Schizosaccharomyces pombe: one gene and its partner. The protein of the gene in region 2 interacts with the protein of the main gene of each other region in a pairwise test. Each region holds a gene or a part of one and is shown on either strand. Other genes may lie near its edges.

What was found.
Region 1: the proteins of aim29 (region 2) and urh2 interact in a two-hybrid assay, tested with the Schizosaccharomyces pombe proteins (one large-scale study listed by BioGRID).

The regions. Positions count from the first base shown.
Region 1 is NC_003424.3:2,342,807-2,346,809, reverse strand, and holds urh2 (uridine ribohydrolase), read right to left. Parts: upstream 2,290-4,003; 5' UTR 1,996-2,289; coding exon 1,003-1,995; 3' UTR 766-1,002; downstream 1-765. Other genes in the region: negative cofactor 2 complex subunit Bur6, read left to right, coding at 1-378.
Region 2 is NC_003424.3:4,264,825-4,268,338, forward strand, and holds aim29 (protein aim29), read right to left. Parts: upstream 1,524-3,514; 5' UTR 1,276-1,523; coding exon 898-1,275; 3' UTR 681-897; downstream 1-680. Other genes in the region: cor1 (cornichon family protein), read left to right, coding at 2,289-2,409, 2,497-2,780.

The DNA of each region.
Region 1 (4,003 bases), 1.9 Mb from region 2:
AAGCGTGTTACCGTTTCTCATTTAAAGCATGCTGTTCAAAGTGTTGAACAGTTTGATTTTCTTCAAGACATTGTTGAAAAAGTACCGGATGCTCCGCCCATTAAAGCCGAAAGAAAGACAAAACGCCCCCGTGCTCGTCGAGCAGCTAATGAAGGTGAGCATAATGAAAGTGTTCCCGCTAAAAAAGTTAAAAAGAATACTGTTAAAGAAGAGGAAATTGAAAAAGATGACGAATCAGCTACCACAGAAACTCCTGTCAAAGAAGAACCTACTGGTGAGGAAACTGAAGCAGATCACGAGGAGAAAGCCTCTGTTGATCATGGTAATTTTTCTGACAAGACAACTAGTGAAGCCTCTTCCGCGTCTGGTGATGAGTAGCTACTTTCTCCACCCTATATGACCATAAATATAATGTCTTTGTATACTTTATTCTTGTTTTGCTATTACATTTATTCTTATCTTCCCTTTTTTCTTGAATTTGTTTTCAGAAAATATTCTCAAGCTACTTGTACATAGGACTATAAAATTGGCACATTAATTCTAGTATTTTTAAGCCTTTTCTTCGACTTAAGAATATAATACGTTCTGGTTGTTCATATTGAGCTTTTTTAAAGTGCCTTATTAATGTACTATGAAAGACCAACTTGGCGTCTACTGATTTTATTTGCCAAAATGATGCTATTGACAATTCTACGAACCTATCACTTACTCGTACACCCTTTTGTTTATAATTAAGCATTTATTTATACATACTTTGTTGTTAGTATTTAAATTCAAATAATGATATTTTTATAGTCTAAGATTTTATAAAACTATATGCAATGCAAAAGTATAAACGTACTTCTTTGAGTAAAAAAGAAAGTATTTGGTTTTGTATTTCCAATGGATGATATAAGAGGGCATGATGAATGCTTGAAGTGCTTTCAAAATTGAAAATGAAGGGAGAACTTGATCGTTGTAAAAAATAAACATAAAACACTAGTCGATAATGTCATAAATATACTACAAATAATTGAGCCTGTCTATAACTCCAATAAACGTCTCCCAAAATAATGAAACATCAGCTTCCAAAACAACATGAACATTAGCCGGATACTGATTTTGTTGCGACCATACATCACAGACAGTGCGACCAAGAGTGAGAGAATCTAAGCTTACAGTCACATACATAGAACGCGAGGTCCACAGAGATGGCCACAGCGCCAAAGCAACAGCACAAACGTCATGAACGGGAACACCGTTTCGAATTCCGTAGACATTTTCATAAGTTTGTTGAAAGACAGTCATCAATTCTACCAGTGTGGAACTAAATGGGTTGCTATGTTGACGCAGTAACTGAATAATGTTTGCATCTAAAAGTACTTTATGAGTGACATCTAGCGGCACCATAAATAGTTTGCCGATAAGTGATTTAGTCTCTAAAACGAGCCTAGCTGCCTCAGGATCAGCATACACGTTGAATTCTGCTTGAGAAGTAATATTTCCAATGCCTGTGCTACCACCCATAAATATAAACCTTTCTATGTTGTCGGTAACGCTTGGGTACGTTGCCAATAACAATGCAATGTTTGTCAAAGGACCGGTAGCTACGAGAGTGACAGGCTCTGGATAATTAGAAATAGTGGTATACATAGCGAACACCGCATCAGGAGTAGCCTTCTTTTTGGGATAATCAGGAAGCAATGAAATCCCTGCAAGCCCATTCGTACCATGTATGTGAGTAGCGAACGCGGACTCGCGCATCAAGGGCTTCGCTGCGCCAGCATGAACATCAACATCTTGATTTAAAAGCTCCATTACCGCTAAAGCATTTTTGGTAGTAAATTCTAGCGTTGTATTACCATGTACGGTACTAACACCCAAAATTTTACAATGTCCAGCGCAAGCAGCCAATGTTAAGGCGACAACATCGTCATGTCCAGGATCGCAATCGATCCATATGTTATAGTTTTCTAATGCGGAGCCTTTTTGGAATGAATCAATTGTGTTAGTCATGGTGCCACAATAATCACTAAGCTTAAAAAAAAATCGATTAGTACTAGCTATGAGGTTTTTTATGACTTTATTACTTTGGACATCCGAAGATAATATTCTTGCTGGACGAGGACACAATAAAATATATGGCTAATAACCTTGCAAAGAGATATGTGGTGTTGTGGTTTAAAAATGGTAATAAATATTGCACAGATGGATAGCCTAGTAGCCCCTAATGCGGAAATTGTCTATTCAACCGACCTTGTAAGTAGACAATTAATGTATCAAAAATGCCGACGCTTGAAATCTATCTTCATCAATTTTCGTTTAATTTTCCGCTGTTCTGGATACATTTGAGTAACGCACTGCAAGAGAGTGGCTCACAAAACGTAGAAAAACGTTATTTTGACTTATGATTTGAAATTTATTTGCTACGGTTAGTGTTTGCAATGACTTTCCGTTTAATTCCTGAAACCATTTATCAACAGCTAGCATGATTAAAAACTAACCGAATTTTTTGTTTGCTAATGAATAATAATGTTGGTTACATCCATATGTAAAATGTTATCGGAATTCTTAACAGCTGGAATTTTTACTTTTGAAAATGCTATTGCTAAAACGAAGTAAAGATTTGTAACTTCAGCTAATTTGTTAACTTATTAAAGCTTGCACAGAAGGTAGAAGACAAAACATTATATCAATGAAAAAACAACCCGTTTATTATTGATAAGTAGAAATAAATACGTGCTCGCTTTAATTAGTAGATCAAGATTTATCAGGTATTTTTGAATTTGTAAATAGATTTTACTGAGACATAATAGAATCTACCGTAACTAATGTTGCTTCCATATACCAAGCTTAACTGTGAGCAGAAATAAATTAGTTTTTGTCTTTCGCTCTACTCTTTTCAAATCAGTGTAGTTGCTTCTTCCGGCCAACTGCTGAGAAAAGCTTATGTTTTTCTTCCTTTATTGATTTCTTCCAAAAATACATAGTTGCTTATTTTTCTGTAGAGCATTCAGTCAAAGGAAGTTCGTTGAATTCAAGGCTTTTGCTTTATTATTTTTTCTTAAAAAATTATGGTTTTGAATTTTAATAATTCAGAAGATTTGGTTCAAGAATTATGTAGACTCGTGATCAAAGAGTTTGCATATTCGGAGAAAAAAAATCAACTGTTAGATCAGTTACATTCAAAGCTCCCAAATCTAATTATGATTTAACTTCTTGGAGGATCTGGGAACAGGCATTTCGTTTAAATGTGTCCAATAGCAAAAAATGTTTTGATACTATATCTGGACATAGAATTACTTTACCTACAAACGCGCGTGGTTTGTTTACTGGCTATGACTATGAAAGTAAAAGACATCGCATTGTTATACGTGGGTACGATAAATTTTTTAATATTGATGAAGTCCCTATTACTACTTGGGATGCACTTTCTCAACACACTAAAGGACCTTATGAATTGACAGTCAAAGAAAATGGTTGTATCATATTTATTGCAGCTTTGCCAGACGGACAGATCATTGTTTCTAGCAAGCATTCTTTAGGTATTGTGGAAGGACAATCAGTCTCTCATGCAAACGTTGGGGAACGTTGGCTTGAAAAACATTTGCAAAGTGTTGGTCGCACTAAACAAGAGCTGGCCCATGAACTACTTCGTAGAGACATGACTGCTGTGGCTGAACTCTGTGATGATGAGTTTGAAGAGCACATTCTTCCATACACTGGAAATTCTCGTGGACTATATCTGCATGGATTAAATCGGAATTGCCCGCAGTTTATTACTGCATCATCCTGTGAAGTTGCTGAATTTGCGGAACAATGGGGATTTATGAAAGTTTCTTCATTTTTTATGGATAGCATTCATGAGCTCAAAGCCTTTTTAGAAAATGCCTCTAAAGATGGCAAATGGAATAACAGGGCAATCGAAGGGTTTGTTATTCGTTGTCATTCTGATCATTCATCTCTTGAGCAACAATCTTCTAATGATTTCTTTTTCAAATATAAATTTCCAGAACCGTATGGC
Region 2 (3,514 bases):
TTAGAAGTATAATTGGACTACTTAATCACAAAATCCCTAAGGTCTCATAAACTAACTATCCTTTCAAATGCAAAGTCATTGAATTGAAGGATGAACACTAGCTACTTATGGAAATTAAGCTGAATAGACAAGCTTGTAGTTTTAGGAGTTTACTTTGATAATAAAAAAAATATATTCTAACACCAAAAACAATATTTTCTTAACATAAAGCAATGCTTTTGTGAAATCAACCATTTGAGCATTGGAAACTTCCTATCAAAAATTACATAGAAATTTTTGATTTTGGCTATATAAATTACATTTCATGATAAATGTACAGCTAAAGTCACTATGTCCGAGTGGTTAAGGAGTTAGACTTGAATCCTGTATTCTAGTCATCTAATGGGCTTTGCCCGCGCAGGTTCAAATCCTGCTGGTGACGGTATTTGTGCGCGGTAGGAGAGTGGAACTCCGACGGGCTCATAACCCGTAGGTCCCAGGATCGAAACCTGGCCGCGCAACTCTTTTTTTGCTTGTTTTTAAAATAACTTTTTATTAAGTATTGGTGTAGCGTTTTGATGAATGAGAAATGTTTTGTTCTTATATAAATATGTAGATAGGGACGTCCTTGGTGCTATTGGTACCAAGTCATAAAGTCGATGTTTACAACATTTGGTTTAAAATGCGTATTGTTTTGTATCATTTATTATTCTACATACTTTTGCTCACTACAATGCATTCTGCTATTGTCAATACATGAATTGCAACAGCGACCTAGGTAATTTTAAATAGTTGCACTAATAAAGACATCAGGAATTTTTTAGCGTAGTTTGAAAAATATTCAATTTAAATAACAAAGGTAAACTCATCTCCTATTCCTAACACCAACAATTGAACTCTTAATAAAGTTATGCATGTCTAAAGCCATTTTTGTACAGGATTTGCTTGATAGGCCTTGTAGGCAGCAAGTTCAAAGTAGGACAACTCAGTTTCATTTTCAATTCCACAAAGAGACAATGTTTTGGCTCCATCATTAAGAATCCAATCATCGTGGTCTAAATTAATAGCCAAGTTTTGGGTTTTGTGCTGCTGGGCTTTCACATAAATCTTCAACGTGTCAAAATGGGTAGTACGGTAGATTTTCAATGAGGGATCCGTTTGTATGCGTTCATCGATGATTTTTTTGAACTGGTCTACAGTCGTAGTGGCCAGATCTATGTCGTGGAAAACGACGTTTTTCAGTGTCCGATATTCAAAGTTGCGAATTACTCGAACAGTTAACGTTGCGCCCGTCATCCTTTTGAAAGATTTAAATAAAACCAAAGAGTAAAAAAGTACCAAATGATCAATAGTTAAATGACTGTAATTCGATTCTTATATAAGGGTTCGAAATCCTTGCGAAATTCCCAAAAACTTTCAAAATTATTTGTATTCCAAAAAAATGTCACAATAGCTTTTTGTTTCTCCAGAGCCTCACCTTTATGCTTATATTTTTCGTATATACAATTGCAATTTGATTAACACTCGAGTCAATGGTAACTTGTGTAGTATAGAGAAAGAACGAAGCATTATAAATGATTGAGATGTGCACTAAGTGGTACACTAGCAATATAACAAATTGAATTGTGTATCCTAACAGCTAAAAACCTTCATACTATTCTTCTAGAAAATTTTAATTTAAGAATGAATGTTCATTGTAGAAGCCAATTGAATGTTGGCTGAATTATTGCAAAACAAAAATAGTTTAATATTTGACGACTGTTTACGAAAAAAACGCATAAGAATTGTTTCTACAACTAAGAGGAACAAGTTGATGATGATATTTAAGGATCGAATTATCGTAAAATTATTTAATTCTATACAGTGTGAATAATTGTAAATGTTTTCAACCCAGACTATATATTTTATTAACTAAAGCGGTTTTAAAGCTAAAGAATATAACACAATGATTACTTCTACTTGAAGTGTTTACGTTTCATAGTCCATGCATGCGTCTCTTTGATTTATATTAGCATAGAACTCTTGAATTCACTTTTTTTTACGATCATTCAATCGAAGCCCATTCTTTAAAATAAAAAATAAAAAATATACTAACGTACTAATTGATTAGTAAACATAAAAACCAAACTTCCAGATTTTTCGAGTTCCCTTACCATTTGGTAAAGATTCATGTCAACAGTGCGATTCGAACTTGTGGTCGTTACGATTCGTTCGCTCATTTTACCATCAATGAGTTGTGACAAGTTATCTTATTACACCCATCGAAAAGAAAAGTTTGAAAACTCAAAATAAGTGTCTAAACATCCAAAATGGTGTCTGCTTGGATTTATTTTACCAGCCTTATGCTTACATGTGCAAATATCATGCTTCAGATGTACTTTACAGTGATGTACTCTGATTTGAAAGACGATTTCATAAATCCCATTGATTGTATGTTAAAATAATCACATTCTAACGATATATATTAATGATAAATGTCTCTGATTCGTATATATACTAATCTTTTTCCCTATTTAGTGTCTCGAAAACTGAACTGGTATGTACTACCAGAAATGGGTTTTCAAGCTTTCAGTGCCCTTCTTCTATTATTGTCAGGTGCTTGGATCACCTTCCTTCTCAATGTACCCATGTTGGCTTGGAACGCCAAAATGATTATGTCCAACACTCATATGCACGACTCTACAACCATCTTCAAAGACGTATCCTCTAGACAAAAACGATCCTTTTTCAAGCTGGCATGTTTTGCTGTATTTTTCTTCGTATACCTCTTCCTCTTCGTCAGTAGACTTGTGGACGAGTAATTGTATCGTTAAGTTTGTGTGATTTATTTTCCCTCCTCTTTTAGTGATCAGTTTCAAAGTCAATAGTTTTAAAGCAATTTTTGCGTTGCTACTCAAAAGTTTTGTTTTCTTTTCCTAAATGTTTTTCGTCTTGGTCAAAACTATTTAAAGCCATCCAGATGCAAAAAGTTTCGCTTTTAGCTAGTGCATTTGTCTTGGCAATGTATATTGTGTAGCTACTTCAATACTTGTTTTTATCTCTTGTTAATTGTTCGTCAATCCCATTTCTTTCTACTCGTGGGATCTCGTTTAACGGGGTTTATGTTTTCACTCCTAGAGAGTCTTTCGCCTTCAATTTCCTATGCAACTCCTACTTGCAGCATCTGACCTGTTGCTATGAATAAAATCTTTAATTGCTGCCGAGCTAGGGAATAGTGAGTTTAATGTGCAAATAAAACCACACGAGGTCATATTTGTACTTATAGTGTTTGCCTATGATATGTTGTAATGTAAGTTGGATGTGATACCGTCGTTTTCTGCAATAGTGTAGTTTTATTTTGTTCTCCACGTGTTCACCTTTGAGAGGCTGTAGCTCTGACTTTTGTCATTGCTTTTCTTTAGCATCATTTAGAGGTTTGTAAAATAAAGGATTTCATTCATAGCACTTTTTTATTTTTTTTAATTGACTACGTGTTGCTTAGCTTATTATATTTCGTTTAATTCATTGAGTTATAATGTTGGTTGTTTGCACTATC